3 linked regions of the Ovis aries genome follow. The protein of the gene in region 2 purifies or fractionates together with the protein of the main gene of each other region. This does not show direct contact. Links are inferred from orthologs where the notes say so. Each region holds a gene or a part of one and is shown on either strand. Other genes may lie near its edges.

Region 1 (8,151 bases), on a different chromosome or scaffold from region 2:
GACGGACCTTAGTTGGCAAAGTAATATCCCTGCTTTTGAATATGCTATCTAGGTTGGTCATAATTTCCTTCCAAGGAGTAAGCGTCTCTTAATTTCATGGCTGCAATCACCATCTGCAGTGATTTTGGAGCCCCCAAAAATAAAGTCTGACACTGTTTCCACTGTTAAGCAGAGACATTACTTTGCCCCCTAAGGTCCGTCTAGTCAAGGCTGTGGTTTTCCTGTGGTCATGTATGGATGTGAGAGTTGGACTGTGAAGAAGGCTGAGCGCCGAAGAATTGATGCTTTTGAACCGTGGTGTTGGAGAAGACTCTTGAGAGTCCCTTGGACTGCAAGGAGATCCAACCAGTCCATTCTGAAGGAGATCAGCCCTGGGATTTCTTTGGAAGGAATGATGCTAAAGCTGAAACTTCAATACTTTGGCCACCTCATGCGAAGAGCTGACTCATTGGAAAAGACTTTGATGCTGGGAGGGATTGGGGGCAGGAGGAGAAGGGGACGACCGAGGATGAGATGGCTGGATGGCATCACTGACTCGATGGATGTGAGTCTGAGTGAACTCCGGGAGTTGGTGATGGACAGGGCGGCCTGGCATGCTGCGGTTCATGGGGTCACAAAGAGTCGGACACGACTGAGCGACTGAACTGAAGTGAACACAAGCCATGCGCAGAGTTGGGGACATTTGTCCACAGTGTGTTCTAGCTTCTCAGTAGGGATGCGTGGGATGGATGTCAGGGAATTTACCAGTGACCTCAGTGCCTCCCCCTACCTTTTACTACTTCCCCTGGGGAAATCTATTACTAATTTGTTTCTCCAGCTTTACTGCAACATAATTGACTTATAATGTTGTGTAAGTTTAGCATATCTGCTGCTGTTGCTTAGTCATTTCAGTCATGTCCAACTCTGTGCCACCCTATGGACTATAGCCCCTCCAGGCTCCTCTGTCCATGGAATTCTCCAGGCAAGACTACTGGAGTGGGTTGCCATTCCCTTCTCAAGGGGAAATTCCCAACCCAGGACTTGAACACAGATCTCCTGCACTGTAGGCAGATTCTTTACCACTGAGCCACCAGGGAAGCTCGAGTTTAAGGTATATAGCCTATTAATTTGATACATTTATAATTTTCAAGAGGATTATCACTATAGTGATCTAAAACCTACATTGTCTGTGTGTGTTCAGTTGCTAAGTCTTTTCCGACTCTTTTCGACCCCAAGGACATAGCCTACCAAGCTCCTCTGTCCATGGTATTCTCCAGGCAAGAACATTAGAGTGGGTTTCCATGCCCTTCTCCAGGGGATCTTCCTGACCCAGGGATGGAATGCATGCCCTCTGCAGTGGAAACACTGAATCTTAACCACTGGACCAGGGAAGTCCCAAGTTCTCCTTTAGACTTAGTGGCTCTGGGTGGATTTCTATCACCTTCCATGGCAAGAGCCCTGCTGTACATACTTACTAATGGGCATGAATGCTTGACTTCCAGAGAGTCAATGCTTAAACAAAGTACAAGAAGCAAGCAGAGCAAGAGGTAAATTTAAATAGAAGAAGCCACAAGTAGCTTGGTGTTTATCAGAGTGTAAATGTCAAGACAAGAAGCAGTAAGAGATGAGGCTAATAAGTAGACAGAAATCTGATCGCGGGACCTGGATGTAGTTTGCAAAGAACTTTGGACTTGATAATATATCTGTTCATTCTACAGGATTATAAACAGGTGTTAGGGAGAGGGTCTGTAAGCTATACAACGTTTGTGTTAATTGCTTAGTTGTGTCCGACTCTTTGCCAGCCCATGAACTGGAGCCTGCCAAGCTCCTCTGTCCATGGGATTCTGCAGGCAAGAGTACTGGAGTGGGTTGCCATTTCCTGCTCCAAAACTATACAATAAATACTAGTAATTAAGAATTTCTTAACCTGGGTGTTAAAGGCAGGGTTCGATTGTCCCTGCTGCTGCGTCACTTCAGTCGTGTCCGACTCTGTGCGACCCCATAGATGGCAGCCCACCAGGCTCCCCCGTCCCTGGGATTCTCCAGGCAAGAACACTGGAGTGGGTTGCCATTTCCTTCTCCAACGCATGAAAGTGAAAAGTGAAAGTGAAGAAGCTCAGTCGTATCCAACTCTTAGCGACCCCATGGATTGCAGCCTACCAGGCTCCTCCATTTATGGGATTTTCCAAGCAAGAGTGACCCTCTGAAATAGCGTGAAAAAAATCTGTGGGTGTGTACGGGTTTATTTGTCTTTGTTTCCGTTATGGGAAAGGTCCCTAACTTTCATCACATATTAACGGAGTTCCTGACCCAAAAAATGTATGAACAAGCTTTTTCAGGAATTACTGGCTTCAAATATCCATGCAAATCTCATTTCCCTTCTAATTTCCTCACAACGCTTAATAACTGTTGAGCACAAAGAAAATGCTCCATAACTGTTTAGTTGGACACGGTCTTAAGAGGGGACTTTCCTGTGGGATCATGAAAAGATGTAAGGAGATAATATAGACCTTGTTAGTTATAGAGATTTTAACCGGGAATATTGGATGCGACATCCGTCGTTTTATTGACTTGGGCAGCCACCCAAGATCTGCAGGTTGTCGGATGCGTCACCCTAGGCACCGCCGCTATTCCCGAAAGCCAACTCCAAGCATCCAAGTCTTTTCACCCGCAGGTGCAGCGACTACAAGTCCCAGGATGCTTCGCTCTCGGAGCCTGAGCGAGGGCGGGGCGGATCCCCGCAGTGACGTAACCGACCAGGGCTGTGCCGAGGCAGGGCGGGGCGAAGGGGCGGGTCGGGGAGGCGACCGAGCGCGCTGGTGCTGATGCAGGATGGCTGAGCTCGCAGGAGCCCGGGAGGTCTGAGTAGGGAGAGGCTGGCTCCCTGCGCATCGCCTCGTCCGCCCGCCGCGTGGTCGTGGGCAGGTGGGCCTGGGGCGCAGCGCAGGGCCAGGAAAGGCAGGTCTGCAGCCGGCTGGGCCAAAGGTTAATAGGCTGCCCACCTACAAGGTGTCGGAGCGGCCGGAGCTGCCCAGCCAGCCGAGTTCGCGATGACCTGCTGAGAAGCGTCGTCTAGGCTGAGGGAGGCGGCCTTGTTGCGGGCGGTGCGGTTCTCAACCACTTTCCCTCGTTGTGCCGAACCGCGGCCCCCCACCCATCCTTGCGCCCCCTCCCTGCCGCCGGCCGAGATGGCGGATCCAGCCGAATGCAGCATCAAAGTGATGTGCCGGTTCCGGCCACTAAACGAAGCAGAGATCCTCCGCGGGGACAAATTCATCCCCAAATTTAAAGGCGAGGAGACCGTGGTGATCGGGGTAAGTGGCTGGGAAGTCTGGCCTCCCTGATGCTTCGCGCCCCAGCCCGGCGCCCCAATGCCCCAGGCCGGGCAGAGATGCTTTGGCAGCCCATTTGGACATCCCTTGGGGGCTGCCCTCTAGGGTGGACTTGACGAGAATCCCCCACCCTGCAGTTCCCTCCTGGGCGAGTTGAGGGTCGACTGGAGGCCTCGGGGCGGCCCCAGGTGGCGGGGGTGGGGGTAGGGGGCGAGCAAGGGTTCGGCGCCGCCATTGTTATTGGGGTGGGGGCCCGGGTGGGTCTATTGTTCCCCGCCCTGGCCACGTCGCGTGGGTAGTGTGTTCGCGTTATCCTCAAGCTCAGACTCCTCTTAAAGTATGAGCTCTGTAGCCCACAAATGATACCAGGGATCGTTTCGATTTATCGAGCACTTTGCCTCTTCTCACAGTTTTGGTAAAAGAAGGAAAAAAGCTACTGGAAAAATCCTAGCTTCTGCACCGAGCTCCAACAGCCGTGTCGAATTGGCTCCCCGCGGCGTTTCACCTTGCTCTGCACGCGGAAGGCGGGGGCTGGGGGAACACTGGTGGCCTCTCCCGGAGGCTTCGTATGTCTCCTCTTGCTTCCTCTCAACCCAGGCTGTCCTGACTTGGACCTCGAGTCTAACTCTTCCCGGTGGGGCGACCCCCACCTGGTGTCCGCAGACCCTCGGGTGTGTTTCATGCTGGACGGTGAGGAGGCTGTGCACCCGCCCGCATCTGTAGGACCAGGGGTCCCAAACGGAGCCAAATAGCCTCTGTACCCAAAGAACAAGTTACTTTGTGTGGCTGGGGCCCCCTCGCTTTTGATCTCCCTTCCCAAGTTTCCCCTCCCCAGACTTGGCTCCATTTCTGCAGCGCGGCTGCTGGTGCTGGGAGGGAATACCGTTGGGTTTTAGTTCTTAAAGGAATATGTCAAATGAAATAAGCCAGCTTTCCCTGCCCCCACCCCCACCCTTCCCCCTCCTCTGTCCCCAGCGTGTGTAGCTAACGGTACCCTCTTTGTATGCGAGTCGCGTGGGGAGGGACCGAGTTAATGGGAGCCTCCCGATCCCCGCTGACACGTTCCTGGCAGCCTGCTCGCGGCTGCTGATGCAGCCTTCCCGGCCTCAGCATTGATTAAATGATGTCATCCCGATTACTGAGCATGCTCAGACTACCTCCTCCCTCCTATTTTCCCCCAGTGGCTGGGGTATTTAGGTCAAGTGATTGACAGGTGACAATTTACTTAGGGTCTCTGCTGGAGTCAGGTCGACCCTTCTTAAGCACCAGAGGCAGACATTTGCCTGCCCAAGCAGTCCCAGCATCTTTGCCAAGGTTGTGCCGCAGTACCTGTGAAGGGCCCCAGGGACTAGCAGGTGCTGGTGGAAGCGGAAGGCAGGCTTTCTCCGCGGGAGACCAGAGGCAAGGCTCTGGCATTGCCAAAGGGCTTCATCGTGTACCTTCCTTAGAAAGGCATCTCCTCTTGAAGACCTCCTCTCCTCCTCATTTTCACAGTCATCAGAAAACCGTGACCCCCAAATGCTATGGGGGTGGTCGTTCATCCTGAGAGCTGGCCTGTGAGGCCAGGAAGGAGGGGTTTTCTATCTGCTTAGTGTTAAATTGAAGGAAGGATGTATGCTACAATTATTGATGAGGAAGAAAATTCTATACTTGATGGCTGACATTGGATAGTGATGTATCTATGGCCAGGACATGGGACGGATAGTAGCTTGTGGGTTACACATCTAAGCTGGGGTCACCCTACAGGCTGATTTGCTGTTTCCTGAGCCTGCTTGTGGTTTGGATAGAGTGGGAGTTACTGGGGACATCTAGCCCTGCCCCTTGTCTGGTGACAGTTTTTAACCAATAATTGTTCAGTCCTAGAACATGTTCTGGTGACCCTATTTTTTCAGAGGTTTTAAAGAGAGGCTCAAGCTGTTTCTTTTCTTTCTCCTCCTTCTCTCCCTCCTACTCCACCTTCTTCCTTTCCACGCTCTTCTTTCTCCATCTTCTAAGGGTGACATACCAGAACTAGTGAAGTGGAGTAATCGATTTTCCCTTTGATCTGTATGCAAGGCAGAGATCTTGAATTTTATGGTTATCCTTCCTTAATTTTATGACACTACTAAATTATATTAAACAAATGGTTGTGGATGTGAATACACATGTAGTTCTTCAACTGTAAATCTGGGGTAAATTGAAAATTTTTCGTCTTACTATAATCCTTTAATGAAACACTTTTCAGTTTTCTTTAAGATAAATTTTTCTTTGAAATAAAGCATTCATATAGAAAAGTGTTTTCATAAGTGTATATAGCTTTTCTTTTTTTATATAAACACTCCTATAACCACCTCTTAGGCTAGGAACCAGACATTTTCAGGACCCCAGAAGTCCCTCCCAGTCACTAAGTCCCTCTGCCTCAGAATAACTGCTATTCTGACTTTTAGGTTTTTTTTTTTAAGCTTTAGCTCCATAAAACCACACAGTATGTTCACCTCTTTGTGTGAGTTCTTATGTTCAACATTATGATTGTCAAATTGGTCCACACTGTGATGTGTGGCTGCAGTTGGTTCATCCTCATTGTTCTGTAGTATCTTATTATATGAATATGCCACAAATTATTTATCCAGTAACTGTTGGTAGTAACAGTTTGGGTAGTTTCCACTTTGAGGCTAATATAGGTGGAGCGGCTATGAACATTCTTTTATGCATCTGTCAGTGAGTTTGGTACAGAACAGAAGACTGCCAGATGCTGAAGGGTGTTGGGACTTGAGTTGGCATGTGCTAGGACCCTTCTCATTCCTACTTAGTAATGTGTAACTAAAGGAAGTGACCGTTCTCGAAGCCTGTATCACCCTTTGTCGACTGAGTAGAAGGCTCCCAGGTCAGTTCGGCTGGAACCAGCCCACCTGGCTCGGGTGCAGGTGGAGGCTCTCTTAGATGGGCTCTCCCCTCCTTCTTGCAGGGGCATAGATTGTGGGGAGGACCAAAGAAGCGCAGAGCCCAACAGAGATGAATGAAGAATGAATTTCTGCGCAGGTAACTGTGAGTCCAAATTCAGAATCTCAGAAATTCTTGTTTGTTTTTGAAACTGGAGTGATTGTTTTTCCTTTAAAGTCTTGTTCATTTCTTGTGGAGATGTATGCTGAGAGAAGATTTTGCAGGTGGGCTTCCTAGATTTCTCTTTTTTTAAGAAATGTCATCTTGAAGTGCGTGCTTAGTCACTCAGTCGTGTCTGACTCTTTGCGACACCATGGGTTGTAGCCCACCAGGCTCCTGTGTCCGTGGGATTCTCCAGGCAAGAGAACTGGAGTGGGTTGCCATACCCTTCTCCAGGGGATCTTCCTGACTCAGAGCTGGAACCCAGGTCTCCTACATTGCAGGCTGATGTTTAACCGCCTGAGCCACCAGGGGTAAAGCTTGAAGAGATTATCTCTATCATTCTTGCTTTTTTTCCCCCCTGCTCCTTTCTTTCCCTGACTGCCCCAGCCACAGTTTCTTCCCTTGTGAACTCTTGCAGATTCAGTCTGTATGTGATCTCGTACTTTTTTGCCTTAGATTATCATTTTTTAATTTTTAAGATTCTCATTTATTTTACAGATTTTTGTTTATTTTCGGCTGTGCTGGGTCTTTGTTGCTGTGTGTGGGTTTCCTCCGGTTGCAGAGAGTGGTAGCTTCTCTTGTTGCGTACAAGCTCTAGCACAGGAGCTCAGTAGTTGCGGTATATGGGCTTAGTTGCTCTGAGCATGTGGAACCTTCCCTGACCAGGGATTGAACACTTGTCCCCTGCATTGGCAGGCAGATCCTTATCCACTGTGCCTCTAGAGAAGTCCCTTAGATTATTATTAATTTTGATCCTGTGTCTAATGACATTGTAAAGCAGGTGTAGAGCCAAGACCCGTTCATGTTTTGCTTCTTGTACTTCTCAGGGTGTTACCCACAGAAGGCACTTAATAAATATTTATTGACCTCTTTGTTGAATCTAGAAATCTTTACCTTGGTGTATTTTAATGACTTTATGGACTTTTCATCGACTGTAAGCTGTGGGGAGTAGTTAAAAATAATTTTAAAGAGATGTGCTATGTGCTATCTTTTAAATGCCTTGGTAAAGAACTGTATTCAACCTTGTTAAAAATTAGGTCTGCTAATGACACTTGTGATGAGCTAGAAGTGGAGGGTGGGGGTGAGGGGCACCACATTAATTCTTTCAGAGAAAAATACTGGATTTAGAGCATTTCTCAGAACACGTCTTCATTAACTGCTAAAAATCCTGGCGAGTCCTCCATTACTTTGAGCTCTGCCTGTTGGTTTTGGTGTATCTACATTGATGGAACTCTGTCTTGAGAGAGTTCTCAGTAGGTTTCTTTGAAATGGACTTTCACATGTCAGTTTTCGGCTTTCCTCTTGTTTGCACTCCTGGGAAAGCAGGTCTTTTTAACCAAGGGTGCCTCCCCTGAGGCAGTGTAAGTTTTGACTTGTTTGAAAGCCAAAGCGAAATATTAGCCACAAACCCTGAGCTGGCCTGTGGCATGGAAAGTGGCCTTAGGCTCTAGGAGGTTAGATTAGTTCTGGTCAGTGGATGGGCAGGGAAGTCAGGGGTGGGGACAGAAACCAAATTCCAAGCCTGAGTTACTGTTGTGGAGATTATGGGCTGAAGATGTCAAGAAATATGGCTAGAACTTTTCTTTTTGTCCATAGTCATGATTCTTAAAAGCAAGAATATTTTAAAATTTATACAGAGTAAAATCACTATTTTTGGTTTATAGTTCTATTGTAGGGGATGTGAGAAATACATAGAATTGTGTAGCTCTGCTGTATTCATTTTCTGTTGCTGCTATAACAAATTATCACAAATTTGAAG
Region 2 (7,961 bases):
GTATGCAGGTCCCCGGGCCTGTAAACCCACACACGCGGAGGTGTACGTGTGGCACACAGGCCTTCAGTGCCTCTGGGTGAACCTGCCTGAGGCTATATTTTTTTCCTAACAATGATTTATTTGGTAGCATGTGCTGTGCTGTGCTAAGTCGCTTCAGTCACGTCTGACTCTCTGCGACCTCGTGGACTATAGGCCACTAGGCTCCTCTGTCCATGGGATTCTTCAGGCAAGAATACTGGAGCGGGCTGCCATGCCCTTCTCCAGGGGGTCTTCCCTATCCAGGGATCGAACCTGAGTCTCTTAGGTCTCCTGCATTAACAGGCCGGTTCTTTGCCACTAGCGCCGCCTGGGAAGCGTTTGGCAGCATACTTGATCCTTAGTGGCGGCGTGTGACCTCCTAGGGCTTCCCAGTAGCTCAGTCTGTGAAGAATCTGCCTGCAACGCAGGAAACCCCAGTTCAATTCCCGGGTCAGGAAGATCCGCTGGAGAAGGGATAGGCTACCCACTCCAGTATTGTTGGGCTTCCCTTGTGGCTCAGCTGGTAAAGAATCTGCCTGCAATGTAGAAGACCTGGGTTTGATCCCTGGGTTGGGAAGATCCTCTGGAGAAGAAAATGGCTACCCACTCCAGTATTCTGGCCTGGAGCATTCCATGGACTGTACAGTCCATGGGGTTGCAAAGAGGCGGACACAACTGAGCAACTTTCACTTTCACTTGTGACCTCTTAGTTGCTCCATGTGAGATCTAGTTCTCTGACCAGGGATCGAACCTGGGCCCCCTGTATTGCGAGGCCAGAGTCTTAGCCACTGGACCACCAGGGAAGTCCTGAGGCTGTGTGTTGAAGGTGTATGAGCCTGTGCTTCATGTGTCTATGAACAGGCAATGTGACCTTGGTTCTCTTGACCCCTACAGTGTTGGGTCAGTCTCCTTTACACACTGGGACAAAATGACCAGACTCTGGATTAGAAAAGGGCACAGTGGTCAGCTGGTGCAGCTGCTGTCCCCTCTCAGGGCCTCACTTTCCTTATCTGTAAAACAAAGATGTATAAGGAGTGCCTTTCAGCCCAGGGTGCATGTCATGGGCACTGCTGAAGTTTCATAATAATAAGAGATATTCATGACCAGCCCTGGCACCACTGAATCTCAGTCTCTAGAAGGAACTTCTGGAACAAAGTTCCCTCCCAAGAGTTACTGAAACCCAGCCTTGTTAAGACCCCTGAGAGTCTCGTGGACAGCAAGGAGATCAAACCAGTCAATCCTAAAGGAAATGAATCCGGAATATTCATTGGGAGGACTGATGCTGAAGCTGAAGTTCCAATACTTTGGCCACCTGATGTGAAAAGCTGACTCACTGGAAAAGACGCTGATGTTGGGAAAGACTGAGGGCAGGAGGAGAAGAGGGCAGCGGAGGATGAGATGGTTGGATGGTATCATTGACTCAGTGGACATGAGTTTGAGCAAACTCCAGGAGGTAGTGAAGGACAGGGAAGCCTGCCGTGCTGCAGTCCATGGGGTTGTAAAGAGATGGACACGAATGGGCGACTGAACATCAACAACAAAGCCTTGATAAGAACAGCAAAGTTGCCCTGGGCTCTGGATCCCATTTCCTCCCTGTGAATTTGCCAGCCAGCTGGGAGTACAGCCATGGTCTGATGGGAGTCTCTCTGCAGAGAGGCAGGCTTGTCACACCACAGCCAGTGCGACCCCGGGAGGTAGGGTCGATGTGCTGGCTAAAGACTCTGAATGCAAAAGACACCAACCTGCAGGGCCCTGGAGGAAAACTGACCCTACGAAACCCACAAGGATAAACACAAGCTCTGCACTGAGGCAAACCACGCAATCAATGGACACAAGAAACATAACAGCGGGTGCTCCTGGGGAGGGGACCTGCAAGACTTGCAGGTGGTCAGTGAGAGAGTCACGTTTCATTGCATCTTGTACCTGCCTTTCGAATGTCACATCATCTGAATGTATCAATTCCCTTTAAAAATCTCTGGGGGGAAATCACTCACTGAAGCACAGGATGGGGGAGAAGAACCTGGCTGGCTAAAACCAGGATGCGTGCAATCTAGGGTTTTAATTGACGAGCTCACCCTGAACAGACACGGTCCAGCGGCTGTCGAAGCCAGCCTGACTTTCAGCTTCACGGTGGACAGGTGGTGCGCTCCTTGGGAGTGGACTGGCCCTCTGCTCTCTTCACATCTCCCTCCCGGTCTGGATGCCTACGCCCTGGACTGAGTCCCATATTCTGAGCAGTGTCTGGATGGACATGCTAAGCCACATCCAGAAAAAGAGATATCCAGAGGGGAGAGGGGGGAGGAGAGGGTGAAGGGTCCTGGATTGTCTGGCCAGGCACCGGAACATCTTTTTGGCAAAAGGGAGCAGCTGTCCTTCCTTTGGGCAGAGCTTCAGTTTGGTGTGGGCAGCAGTGTCCACAGTGACTGTGGAAGGAAAACCTTGCTGACCTTTAGAGCTCACTGCAGACTGTACTGACCTTCCTGCCACCGAACATACTTAAGCTGGGAGGCATCAGGACATCTGCCAGAGATGATGCTCACAGGGTTTATCCATCAGGACACTGAACCTGGTAGAGTCTGAGCGCCCCCCACTCAAGAGGAACACCCTAGATGCCTGGGTACCAGTGCCAGGCGTTGCTGGGCAGGTACTGTCTCTCAGAGGGAACTCTTCTAGAGATGGCGACCTAAAAGCAGTGGAGGCAAGGCCAGGGTGGCCAGCAACGCAGGGCTGCAGAGTGCCAGGCCTAAACCTGGGCCAACAGGTGCGCCCTTCTTAAAAACTAACATTCACTGAGTGTTGCCATGTGGTGGCCAGGAGTTTCTCTGGGAATGAACAAGACATGCAGATCTTGCCTGATGGGTGCATGAGATGGGCTGGAGGGCTGCTCTACATAAGGGTGCGGGGAATCAGGGGAGGGCTCTCTGAGATGACGTCGCACCTGAGCCCTGAATGACATCACCTTGTCCTGATCGTCCAGTCCACAGCATTCGTGGTGGTGCTCACCCACAGGGTCAAGAGTGTTTCTGCCAATGCCCGGCTGCCCCTTGTCACCTTTTTCTCTTTCATGGCCGGAAGCCTCTGTTCCTTCCTCCCAAGAAGCAGCCCTAAGATGCCGGGAACCACCTCATGGGACAAGGAAAGCTCCAAAGGAATTGGGTGGGGCATAACCACCGATTAGAGACAAATGAGTGTAGGGTTATTACCTGTGACACTGGGATAATAGCAGTGCCCACTTTATTCGGTCTTTGTAAGCGTTAAATGCACTTAAGGCATCCAAGCGCGCGGCACTCAGTAAGCGCTCAGAAAGTGGCACTCCGCCTCATTCCATGCCAATAAATGTCAAATGTCCCGATCTGGACTCTGAGGAGGCCGAGACTTCTCCCTGGGCCTCCGGGCCTCAGTTTCTCCCGCCGTCCTCTCTGGCCGCAGAATAAGGTACGTTCAGGTACACATCCTCCCCAGCCAGTCCACACTCCCGCGGTCTCGGGGCTGGTTACAACGGAGGACTACGAGGCCGCAGGAGCTTGGGAGGTGGCGTCGGCGGCGGCGGCGGCAGCGGGGACACTAGCGGGTCTAGCCCACGCCCCACGCCTCGGTGACCACGCCCCGTCGCCAACAGCTACGCCCCCTGCCCCTCCCCCTGGCCTGGAGTGGGCCCCGCAGGCGTGCTCCTTTAAGGCAGCCTGCCGGCCTAAAGGAATGTTTCGCCCCCTCCGACGCCGCCAAGGTGCCGGCTTCACCTTTAAGGCAGCGCAGGGACTGCTGGGAAGGCCGGCGGGATGGAGGCGGCGGGACCAGCTCACGGCGGCTGGTCCGGGTGAAGCGGCACCGGAGCCGGAGCCGGAGCCGGAGCCGGAGCGCGAGGCGGGCCTGAGCGGGAGACTGAGGTCCGCGCGGGCCGATCGGGCTGGGGGAAGGGAGCTCGGGGTCGGCCTTAGGGGAGGGGTTGTCTGGGGCGCGGCTCGTGAGAGGACCAGGCCGGCCCGCGGGGAGGGGGCGCGGTTCTGGATGACCGGGGTCGGGAGCTTTCAGGGGAGGAGGGGTCCGCAGGATGTCATGCTGGCCTACGGGGAGGGGTCGTCGTGGGCGCGGCCTGGGGGGGAGGGGACGAGGAACCCCGCGATCTCAGCTCCTTAGCGGGAGCGTCTTCCCAGGGTCGGCCTCCCCAGGAGGAGGGCTCTGTGGCTCGGCCTGCCTGTTGGGGAGGGGGCGCTGTCCGAGGGAGCTGGGACCGGATCTCTGAGAGGGGCTGGTGTCTCCGCACGGGAGTAAACCCCTCACTATCCCAGTAGGATCGTCCTCTGGCGCCTCCTGTTCTAAGGGAGCCTCTGGGGAAGCCCCGAGACCGGGTTGCCTAAGCCGGCCTTGAGCCAGTGGTCTGGGCCGAATCCGGGTCCAGCCTCGCGGGTCGCACCGCATTGCGTCTCCCGGGCCGAGACGAGCAGAGCGCGCCCCCTGTAGGCCGAGCGCGAGCACGGTGCGGGCTGCTATCTGGGGGACCGGGCTCCCGGGGGACCCAGGCGTCCGGGGGGCCCTAGGTGTTTACCTAATCTGGGGCGGACAGCGGCTTGGCCCCAGGCCCGGCACCCCCTGCCCGCCCTCTCGCCTTCACAGGAGGTACAGCCATGGCCACGATGGTGCTTCCTCGGGAGGAGAAGCTGAGCCAGGATGAGATCGTGTTGGGCACCAAGGCCGTCATCCAAGGGCTAGAGACCCTGCGCGGGGAGCATCGTGCCCTTCTCGCTCCCCTGGTCGCTCATGAAGCTAGTGAGGCAGAGCCGGGCTCACAGGAGCGCTGTGTCCTCCTGCGCCGTTCCCTCGAGGCCATCGAGCTGGGGCTGGGCGAGGCCCAGGTAGGCTGGTCCGGGGTGCTGAGGAGGGAGGTCACGGGAGGGATGGAGCCTTGCAGAGGAATCCTGGCAGTGTAGTAACAGAATCAGCATGGAAGGAAGAATCTGTGCCTTGGAGCCTTATGGTAGGATCTGGTAGATATCTATTGAAAAAATGGATGGGTTGAGCCCAGGAGGGCTGATTATCTGACTTCTCTGCTACCTAGCAGAGACTGCATGGCCTAGGGAAACAAAAAGGAAGTCCTTAAGGACCCCTCCCCTCATTTATTCTTTTATTCATTTGTTAACAGGTAAGTTATCAAGTGCCTACTGTGTGCCAGGAAATGTGTTAGGTGCCAGGGATACAGGTCCAACAAGACAGACAAGATCCCTGCCAAGTCTAGTAAGAGAAGAGTCAGAAACACATATATTTATTCAACGTTACGGTGAGTTCTCAAAAAAAAGGTATGGCAGGAGGTCTCATCTATTGGTCAAGCTACACTTCTGAAGGAATGACATTTAAATCAAGATCTGAGTGACAGAACAAAAAAGGAGAATGAGAGATTGTGTGTGCAAAGGTCCTGTGGTAGAAAAGATCTCGTGGTGGGAGAACTGAGAGAAGACTTGTCTGACTGAAGCTTCATGAGGAAAGAGAGGGGCAGAAGAGGTCTATGGAGAAGACAGGGGCCTTATTAGTCTGGGTTTTATTCTTAGGAAGTCAAGAAGCCTTTGGAGGGTTTAAGCAGTCACAGCACATGGCCTGGCTTAGGCTTTAAAAAACTCTCTGGCTGAGGTGTGGAGAGTGAATGAGGATGGGTCAGGGTAGAAGGAGGTAGCAGGTGTTAGGAAGCCACTACTGGAATTCAAATGAGAAATGGCAACTTGGAGTAAAGGGGTGGCCATGAAGCTAGTAAGAAGGGGGTGAGTTCTAGACATTCTGGAGGTAGGTTGAGCAGGGCCTGGGGATGGACTAAAGGAGAGGGAGAAGGTCTGTGGTTTGAGCAAATTAAGAGGAGGGGACTTCCCTGGTGTTCCAGCGGTTAAGAGTCTGCACTCTCAGTGCAGGGGGCGTGGGTTCAATCTCTGGTCGAGGAACTAAGATCCCACGCGCTGTGTGCAGCAGCCAAGAGATAAAAAATATAAAAATAAATAAGTTTTTTAAAAAAAGGAGAAGAGAGTGTGATGGATCAGGAGTTCTGTTTGGGTCCTCTTAAGGAGCTGGGGCTGCTAGGATGACATGCAGATGGAGATATCTGGGAGGCACTGGGGTGCACGAGGAGTTAGACTCTTGGGAAAAGAGTCTTGGCCCACTCAGATCCTGGCTGAGACACTGCCTGGCTCCGTGAGCCCTGGGCAGGTGGTATTATCTTGGTTTCCTTGTTTTTAAAAGAAGGATCACACCATATGCTGTATATATGTCCAGGCTGTTTAGGGAATTTGAAAACACGTGTCACTTGGGTGTTTGCTCATCAACTAGAAAGCACATGGTTCTAGACTGCCCAGCCCTCTGGAAGGGCAATGTGTTGGTCATTCACTCCTTGGCCAGTTGACTGCTAGGTACAGAGATGAACATACCGGGGCACCTTCCCAGGGCAGGTACAGGTGGGCAACAGAATGGTGTGTGGGGGGGTGGGTGAGATACCCTGCTTTCCTGGGGCCGAGAGCATAAGAGGGAAGAGGCTTCACTGCAGAAATGACTCTGACCATGAGGAATGGAGAAAGGGTAGCACCTAGCAAGGCCTCAAGGCAGGAAGAGCCTGGAAGCTCAGGAAAGGAGTCAGGGAGTTGGGGAAGAGGGATGGGAGCTGAGGCCCCTGCATCCCCTTCCCTGCCTCTCTGGTTCCCCAGAAAACCAGGGGTTTAGGACACATACTCCTCTCCCTGGGAGCTGCAGGTGGCCCCTGGGCAGAAGTCAGGATGGGGTCTCTTGGTATCCTTTCAGCCATCTCTCAGGAATCTTTGGAAAAGTGCTAGCCCTGGGCCAGGGGCAGTGGTTTAGTGGCTCTGGCTACAGGGCTTGAGTACAACTCCTCAGAGAGACAGGAAGAGAGCGGCCAGCTTGGAGAACGGGCAGCACCCCAGTCAGCGCTCTTCATGATCAGAACAACTGGACGTCTATGCGGAGGGCTAGCTGGAGGCCCCAGGAAAGGGGATGATGGGTTCTTTCAGAGTCTAGCAGAGCCAGCCTGGGAGCCCAGGGGTCCCTACTGCAAAAGGAAGGAGCTGGGGATCCCCAAGCCTCCTGGGTTCAGGTCTCAGGCTGTGTGTGGTCTGTTTGGGGCCCTGGGGCAAAACTCTGTCAATGAGAGAACTTGGGACCCTCAGGCTGGCAGCTCCTCCAGGCCTGGCTCTTTTCTGGGCCCCAGGAGGCCCAGGCTGGGCATGGTGTGGGGGCGGGTGGATAGGGCTTTGACCTCCATTCTGGCTGTCTGCCACAGGTGATCTTGGCGCTCTCAAGCCATCTGGGGGCCGTGGAGTCGGAGAAGCAGAAACTGCGGGCCCAGGTGCGGCGCTTGGTGCAGGAGAACCAGTGGCTGCGCGAGGAGCTGGCGGGGACGCAGCAGAAGCTGCAGCGCAGCGAGCAGGCCGTGGCCCAGCTCGAAGAGGAGAAGCAGCACTTGCTGTTCATGAGCCAGATCCGCAAGTTGGATGAGGACACCCCCCCCAACGTAAGCCCCGGTGTAGCCATTGCAAGGCCACTGCGGGGGGTGGGGGGCAGGTCCAGGACCAGGGGAGGTGCCAGGGAACAAGCGCAGTTCCCACCCAGCCTGCTGACCCCTGGGCTGCCCACATTCCCTGACGCTCATCCTGTCTCCCTCCCCAGGAGGACAAGGGGGATGTCCCCAAAGACTCTCTGGATGACCTGTTCCCCAGCGAGGAGGAGCAGAACCCAGGTGCAGAGGGGCGGCTGGCTTTGGGGGTGGGAAAAGAAGACTGGGTGAACCAGTCCCTGGGACCCAGAGGTCACAGGAAACGAGGTCTGACTGAGTGACCACCAGGTGCTTCCCTGCCTCGTTTCTGATCATAACATCCCAGCATGAGCACTTAAAAGGCTGGCTTTACCTGTTGCTTCTCTCATCCCCTCAAGTTCCGTGAGGAGCAGGCATCACAATT
Region 3 (8,034 bases), on a different chromosome or scaffold from region 2:
AACTAGACCAGCGGTTATCTACTTTTTTTGCTTCTAGACTATTCACTTGGGAAACGTCACCATTATTTACATCTCTCATGACACACAATTATTCTGAGTCAGACTGTAGTATGTTGTGGGGGATTTCTTATCAGAATCTGGGGAAGCATATGTACAATTAACAAAAGCCATTTCTGATGCCCTCTCCCAGGACTCTGGCCAGGCCACTCCACAGTCTGGACCACCATGTAAACCAAGAGTTTCCTGAAGATAGAGGTTCCCCTCTCAATCCCCAACATCAAGCACAGACCCTGGCCCACAGGAGGCTCTTCATTAATATATCTGTTGAAGAAACACAGATATTGATGGAAGAAGAGAGCAAGAAGATCCTAGGGACCTGAATCTTTGGATGAAACAATCTGTAAGAGGGGAAAATGTTAACCACTTCCCAGTTGTGCCAAAGGTGAGCTGGTGGGGAGACAGCCCATCTAAAATAAAAATAACATCTAACTCTGGTTGGGAGTTTATGATGTGCCTGTCACTATACATTATCTCATTTCATGCTCACAGCAATCCTAGGACGTAGGTACTATTATTATTTTCATATTGCATAGATGTGAAAACTGAAGTTCAGAGAGGTAGGGTAGTGGTAGAAGAAGGTTTCAAACCCAAGCAATCTGATTCCAGACCCACACTGTCAAAGTGATCCCAGAACTGACGTGCCAACACTGCGTCAGAGCTTTATCATGGCTTCCCTTCCCCTCCTCTCTCCATGTGGGCGTTTCTCCAAATACTTCTGGACAGAACTAAAGCCCTTCATCATCCTCTTTTTGCAACCTCAACCCCTTTTTCAGAAGAATGCAGTTCTTCCATCTATCCTCTCCAAGGATGTACTAATCCGTGACTTCAATTAGTCAGGGACTAGAAGACTTGTAAGTTAGGAACACTCAGGGAGACCTTCCACCTTTGAGGAATGCCTCTGAGACCCACTCTCTCTCCCCCCACAGCAGCATAAACCGCCCCTCCAGAGGGCTTCTCTTCAGAGTCCCACAACCCAGGACTCTCTGTTCTCTGACCCACTCCAAGCTTCCCCGTGTGCTGTCCAATTGTGTCTCCCAGCACTTTCTGGTGTTTTCCACAAAGGGTGCTGACTAAAGCTAATGGAAAGGTCTAAGATCAGGGGTCCAGAGATAACCAACCTTTTCAACCTTCACTAAAGCACTTGGTAGAGACTGAACTTGAGAGCACCAGGACTGATTTCCATAGTGACAACCTTGGGGATTGTTGCCATGGCAATGCTAGAGAGACACTGGCCACAGTGAACATCACCTCCCCTCTCTGCTTTCCTTGACGAGACTCCCCCAAGGCTAAGGGGAGAACTGATCGTCTCCATCAGACATCAAAAGAATCCTGGGCCACCTCAAACAATACTGACTATGCTCCAATAATCCTGCAGGCCCCAACCTGGCTTTTCCAAATGAGGTACTTGGTGGCCCTGCTTTATTGCCTCTTTAAGAATCCACTGAGCCATCAGGAAATCTAAGGGAGATAGAATATGGTGGGTACTTGAATGAGGGAGGGAGGGAAGAGGAGACGGAAAGGAAGTGGAGCAGGGGCGGGAGGCAGAGAGGCTATGGATTTCCCTACTGCCATTCTCCTGTGTCTGGTATAGATGCACAGCTCACACTGCCCACCAAGACAGGCAGAGAGACACATAAATGGGTACACTTAAAAAGTCACAGTGGATTCCGAGTGACCCAAAGAGCAAGACAAGGTACACAGCACACATAGACAGTGACCCAGACACCCTTCCACTATGACTCAGGCCATTAACGTGGGCTAAGCCCCATCCCCCAGATTCCAGGGACAAGTCATGGGGTGGGAGGGGGATGAGGCTCACAGAGCTGTCTTCCAAGCTTGTTCTCCTACATTCCGCCAGGCAGAAAAAACCCATGAACATTAGGGACTCTGTAGCCCAGAGCTAGCCGCAGTGCAGAGAGGAGAGCCATCACAGGAGGAGCAGGGGGCTGGGACTGGAGAGAGAGAATAGCCTCTCCCATCTTCAGCCCTCCCAGACATCCTGAAGCAGATTCCTCCATTACCTCCTCACACAGTTCCCACAACGGGCCCCAAAGGGAGCCAGAGGAAGAGAGAGGAAGGAGGGTCGGGGATTTCCTTTCCTTGGTTGGGACCCTCAAGGCACTCCTCACAATCACTTCACTTATGACCCTCATCCTCCTGAACGAGGAATGAATAGAAAGCCTGGGAAGGCAAGCACCGAGGATGCTGCCTGAGACAAAATGGCCCCCCATAAGCACTTATCTTGGCATAAGACACTGACAGGAAGGGCTAGGGCAAGGCAAGACACAGAGCGAGACAAAGGTTCAGCCCTGCAAATATCAGGCAAAACAGATAACGAAGGAACAGCTGTGGAGTAAGATAAAATCTGAATTGGCAGGGGGCCCTGGGCCTGTCTTTCTCTCTCCTCCCTCCCACCTCCACGAGGTCTCTCTATTTAGCTGGGAATGAGACAAATCAACACAACTCCTTCTCCCAACATCGCCCCCTGCCCTGTGTCCACCATGCCAGGATGGGTGCCCCAGAGAGCCTAAGGGAGTTGGTTCAGATAAACCTAAACACCCTAGAGCAAGGAAGTTAGGCTTAAAAGTGGAAGCCTTTTGTGGGTTTGTTCCTCCATAACCACCCTGGTCCTATTTCTCAGCCTTTCTGTCTCAGGGGGCCCTCAAGCTCTAACTCTCGTGGCTAACACCCACTGTCCAGACTATTCAGAAAGGAGGCCCCAAGGGTTGATCCAGGCATTATTTCAGCCTGGCCAGACTGATCAGTCTGCAAGGTCTAAGGTTCCCGAGACAAAGAGAGACAGGGGCCCTCCCTATGTGGCAAGCATACATACATAAGCACATACACAGGGCGAGAGCACCCATTTGAGTCCACAGTGGAGGTGAGAGAGACTGGTGACAGACGAGCCCTTGGGGACAGACCACGTCAGCAAGTCTCTTCCTAAGGCATGTTTACTCAAAGTCCCGTTCTCACTGACTCCGAAGACCCAGGCTCCCTCCTCTTCTTTCCTTCATTCCTTCAACAAGCAAGCCCTGTGCCAAGCACTATGGATCAAAGATACATAAGAAGTGCCCCTGACCTTGAGGATGGCCCTTATATGGGCTCCTCCCTTCTTGAACTGGCTACAGTGTCCTGGCCCAGCACCCCTCAAGTCCTACTCCTTACTGGACTCAACCCCAAATCCTTTCACCCCATAGCCTGACAGTCCCAACCAGCCTAGGAAAGGAGGGGAGGTGAGGAATTCCCTAGGAATCCCTCGGGGGCTACCACAGCTAAAAGTCCAGAACCCAAATCTGTGGAGGTAATGTGATACCGAAGGAAAGATGTGAGCTTTGGAGTGACAGATTTAGGTTCAGATCCATGAATTAACAGTGTGACCTTGAGAAAGTCATTCGACTTCTTTGGGCCTCAATTTCCTCATCTGTAAAGTGGAAATATTGATACCTTCTTCAGAGTGTTGTTTTGAAGATCAAATGATATATGTAGAGTAAAAAGCACAGGAAATACTAGTTCTCCTTCTTAATAGTCTCTTCCAAGGGTAGGGGCTGTCAAGACTAGGTAGAGGAGGTGGCTTGCTACTTTGAATTGGATCATCAAGAGAAACGATGAATAAGCAACTGCTTGATAGGATCTCAGGGTTTGGTTATTTTTGTTAGAGTGAGTTGAGGGGTCTGAAATCCTCTTCCTACCATACCTGGGAGGGAAAGGCAGACATTTCTTTAGGACCTAGAAGATCCCCCTCCCCAAACTGGGTGTGGCACCAATGTATTTCCTACTCTGAAAACCCTTCACTAAACCTGTGCCCTCCAAGTCCAGGCTGTAACTACTTCAGGGGATGATGGAGGCCTTGACCCCAGGGTCCATCCTCACTTGTACCTGGGCAGAGACCCTGGACAACCCACCTCCCATCTAGCCAGTCCACTAGTCTTCCCCCTCCCTTCCTGGGAAGTGAGGGGTAGAGATTCTGAGCCAATAACAAAGGGAAGATGCGCCTTCCCTAGGGAACAGGGAAAACGTCAGAAAAACACGAGACTGGCTCTAGGGGTGGGGACGCTGCAGAAAGCAGCAAAGGGGAATCCGGTCCCCGGATCGCGGGATAGTAGCCCCTTCCCACTCTGCCGAGACTCGGCCGCCGGTCTGGCCAGGCCACACCCAGCCATCCTGATGCAGGGAGAGGAGGGGCTGCGGCTAAAAGGATGGAGGAGGATGAGCGGTGGGGAGAGGGAGCTGAGACAGGCTGGGGGCTGAGGCTCGGCGGGCGTAAAAGATCCTGTCCCCTCTCCGAAATTCCCTCCAGGGGCCGCACTCACCCCAATAACGACGCTGTCGTCCCCTTGGAAAATGGGAATGAACTTGTCCCCCCGCAGAATCTCGGCCTGATTTAGGGGCCGAAATCGGCAGAGCACCTTGATGCTACATTCGTTGTTGGTCTCGGCCATGGTGGTCGCCGGCGTGGGGCTGGGACACTTCGGCTGCAGAGGTCGCGTGTGCTCCGGGAGGAGAGGGGCTCAGCTGAGGCCCAGGCGAAGGACAGGTGCTCTGTCTCTGGGGGTTCAGAAGGCTGAGGCGGGCGCCCGGGCAAAGGCTGAGGAGCAGGGCCGAGGCGCGCTTCCTCTCTCCTGCGGCACCGGGATGCGGGCGACCTGGGCGTCTGGTCCTCTCTCGGCGCTCTGCCTCTCCGCCCCTCGCGCTGCAGCGCCGCGCTGCGGGCCTGGGCGGGGCGGCGACGGAGGAGCGGGGCGGGGCTTCCCTGGCTGGGGGCAGCCGCCCCACGGCGCCCACCGACGGACGGTGGCACCTCTGCTCTCTTCGTGCTTCCTCTCCCCACTCCTGACTCTCGGAGACTAGCGTGTCCTCACCCCTTCCCCACCCAAGTCACTCACTGGGTCCCACCCTCACAACCCTGGCCAGTCTGTCCCTCCCTCGGATTCCAACCCCCTGGAAGGGCTAAGGGATCTGAGGTGGGTCTGTCTTCCCGCCGGAGATAGAGTCAACAGCACTCACACCTCCTTTATTCCAGGGCATCCTTCACCTCCATCACAGTCCTCTCTCCAGATTGGCAGCACACGTCTCCTCCTCTCTTTCCCCACAACCCTCTCAAAGATCCTCAGCTCACTCAAACCTTCAGGGGCAGCTACTTGTATCCCTATGGAGGTGGGTGTCCAGGGTCCATTTTTTAAAGAGTGTCAAGGGAGGTCTGGTTCTTCCCTTCCCCTCCTACATCCAAAAGGACTCTACTCGCTCCCCAACATAGATACTAGGTCCCGACTAAGTCTCCTATTTTGGCCTGTGATCTCCTATTTTGGCCTGTCTGACTCTTGGCGACCCCCTGGACTGTAGCCTGCCAGGTTCCTCTGTCCATGGGGATTCTCCAAGCAAGAATACTGAAGTGTATTGCCATTTCCTTCTCCCCAGCATTTCCCCCACCCAGGGATTGAACCTGAGTCTCCTGCATTGCCAGGCGGATTCTTTACCAGCTGAGCTACCCGGGGTCCTATTTTGGTCTCTCAAAATTCAAAAGCAGGTAATTCGCATTTTTGCCTCATAGTTTGGAGCTGGGATGGTGGTGGTCCAGAGGAATTTTTGCAAGAGGGAGGAAGTCATAAAGCAGTGATGGAGGAGAGATGATGGTGGTGGGTAAGACCAGAGGGGCTTGAAGAAAGGACCTCTAGAGCTGACGTCTGCACTTGGGCTTCAGGCAGGGTTAGGCACCTATGTGAGTATGTTTCCTATCGCAGTACTCTGTTGAACAGTCCCAACACTCCAGCCCCTTTCTCAGGCCTTTCTTCTGTTTCTCCCCTCTCTCTGGCAAAAAAAAAAAAAAGAGAGAGAGAGAGAGAGCCAAGTCTAGAAATTCCATGTCCTTCCTCCCCTCCAGTAGGACTGCTGCTGCAGCCCCTGGGCAGAACCATCTAGAAGCTGGCGGGATTGATTTTTCTCCACGTCACAGGGCCTCTGCTGGCCAACAGAGTTAGACTGCAGGAGTTGAGACTCTAGGCCAGGGGGAGGAGCAGGGTGATGGGAGAAGAAAGGAGGGAGGGAGGTTCTGCCTAGCAATTGTCTGGTGTCTAAGGTCACTTGAGGCAAGGAAGAGACAATGATGGCCTGGCCAAACAAGACCTAACCACTCAGAACACAGCTAAAGGGGTTTCCGAGTTGGACATATACCCTTAACCCACCTTGAATCTTAAGGAAACTGAAGGAAAGAGGTTCACCATAAGAAACTGGATGGCAAGGCAGTAGCACTGTGGAGAGAAAGGCTTGGGGAGGAGCCAGGAGAGTACACATTGAATGACAATGAGTTCTAAACTCAGGAAAACAGGCATCTCTCCAGTCTCTTGGTCTGGCACTATTTCTAATTGTTGCAGCATCCTGCAAGCTCAGGAAATATCCCAACCTTAGGCCCCCAGGGGCTCCAGGATGACATCCTTAGTGAAGGGGTTTCAGAATACTAGTCAATGCAGGGTCTCTGGTCAGACAAAAGTTGACCGTGTATGGATCCCTCCCAGCAAAAAAACACGACACAATGTGAATGCGGTAGTTTTTTCATAAAGCTGGATTTGTTGTTTCAAAGGAATATCTCTTATTCTGAGAGTACTGTATGTCCTTCTGTACTTTTCTACTAAGTAATGATGGTAATAGAGAATAGATTTGGCAAATACTTGCTTGGCAAAATAAAAAAGTAGCAATACTATGCCTATCCTCAGAAAGGTTTGATATTGTTTTAATTGTACTAAACTGTGAAATTCAAAAGTCTGAAAACCATTAGTGAAGGGATTAAGAGCACAGAGGGTGCTACCAAGTGTTTATTAACTTGTGATAGAATTGCCAGATTCAAAAACAGGATGCCTGGTTAAATTTGAATTTCAGATAAAATAGTAAAATGTGTCTATTTTATGTATATGTCCTACATATCCTATGGGACATACTTATACTATAAAGACTATTAGTTGTTTATGTGAAATTCAAATTTAACTAAGAGCTCTGTATTTTATCTGACAGCCCTAACCTGGTTAGTTAACTTTCTCATTCCCAACACGATTAAATCTCTATTAAAGTTACTTATTGTTGTTTCAAAGCCCTGGCTGTGCCTTAGCAAACCTAGTTGTGTTGTTTTTACCCAGTCATTTAATTTCTGGGAGCTTGACATGGCTAGCGGTTAGAGAGCATCACTGACTCAATAGATATGAATGTGAGCAAACTGTGGGAGATAGTGGAGGATAGAGGAGCCTGACGGGTTACGGTCCATGGGGTTGCAAAGAGCTAGACAGGAGTTGGGAGAAGGCAATGGCAACACACTCCAGTACTCTTGCCTGGAAAATCCCATGGATGGAGTAGCCTGGTAGGATGCAGTCCGTGAGGTCGCTAAGAGTCGGACATGACTGAGCGACTCACTTTCACTTTTCACTTTCATGCGTTGGAGAAGGAAATGGCAACCCACTCCAGTGTTCTTGCCTGGAGAATCCCAGGGACAGAGGAGCCTGGTGGCCTGCCGTCTGTGGGGTCGCACAGAGTCGGATACGACTGAAGCGACTTAGCAGCAGACAGAGTTAGCGGCTGAACAACAAATTTATCCACCGAAAAACAGGAATTGTAAAAGCTCTTTCACAGACTCGCTATAAAGACGAAAGAAAATAAGTTATGTGACACAGCTCCCAAAGCGCGTTAACGTCGGTCCCCACCCAAGCTGGGTGGGCCAAGACTGCATATCCCACAATCCTAGGCGGCGGTTTCCTGCCATTACCTCATTCCCGGCCTCGTTCTCGCCAATCCCTGCCTCTCCAGGGGTGTGGTAGCGGGCTGTTCTCGCGACTTTTGCTTCACCCTTCCTCTGTACTACTCCTGTCGCGAGACTTCCTGCTCCTCCGCCTCCTCCGCCGCTCCCTTTGCGGCCGCCTTAAGCCGGACCGGGACCCATCCTCTCCCCCACCCGAGCACCGGCCCCGGCTCTGCCGAGGCCCCGGTCCCCCAACC

The links.
Region 1: the proteins of KLC2 (region 2) and KIF5C purify together in Homo sapiens (affinity purification with western blotting; 3 studies listed by BioGRID and IntAct, with this or other methods). This does not show direct contact. The link is inferred for Ovis aries from reciprocal best matches to the Homo sapiens genes KLC2 and KIF5C.
Region 3: the proteins of KLC2 (region 2) and KIF5A purify together in Homo sapiens (affinity purification with western blotting; 3 studies listed by BioGRID and IntAct, with this or other methods). This does not show direct contact. The link is inferred for Ovis aries from reciprocal best matches to the Homo sapiens genes KLC2 and KIF5A.

Annotation. Positions count from the first base shown.
Region 1 is NC_056055.1:160,716,899-160,725,049, reverse strand, and holds the start of KIF5C (kinesin heavy chain), read left to right. Parts: upstream 1-2,776; 5' UTR 2,777-3,167; coding exon 3,168-3,293; intron 3,294-8,151. UniProt on the Homo sapiens protein: Microtubule-associated force-producing protein that may play a role in organelle transport. Has ATPase activity. Involved in synaptic transmission. Mediates dendritic trafficking of mRNAs.
Region 2 is NC_056074.1:40,739,956-40,747,916, forward strand, and holds the start of KLC2 (kinesin light chain 2), read left to right. Parts: upstream 1-3,693; 5' UTR 3,694-3,717; coding exon 3,718-3,905; intron 3,906-4,582; coding exon 4,583-4,871; intron 4,872-7,285; coding exon 7,286-7,516; intron 7,517-7,671; coding exon 7,672-7,741; intron 7,742-7,961. UniProt on the Homo sapiens protein: Kinesin is a microtubule-associated force-producing protein that plays a role in organelle transport. The light chain functions in coupling of cargo to the heavy chain or in the modulation of its ATPase activity.
Region 3 is NC_056056.1:162,103,406-162,111,439, forward strand, and holds the start of KIF5A (kinesin heavy chain), read right to left. Parts: upstream 4,733-8,034; 5' UTR 4,500-4,732; coding exon 4,371-4,499; intron 1-4,370. UniProt on the Homo sapiens protein: Microtubule-dependent motor required for slow axonal transport of neurofilament proteins (NFH, NFM and NFL). Can induce formation of neurite-like membrane protrusions in non-neuronal cells in a ZFYVE27-dependent manner.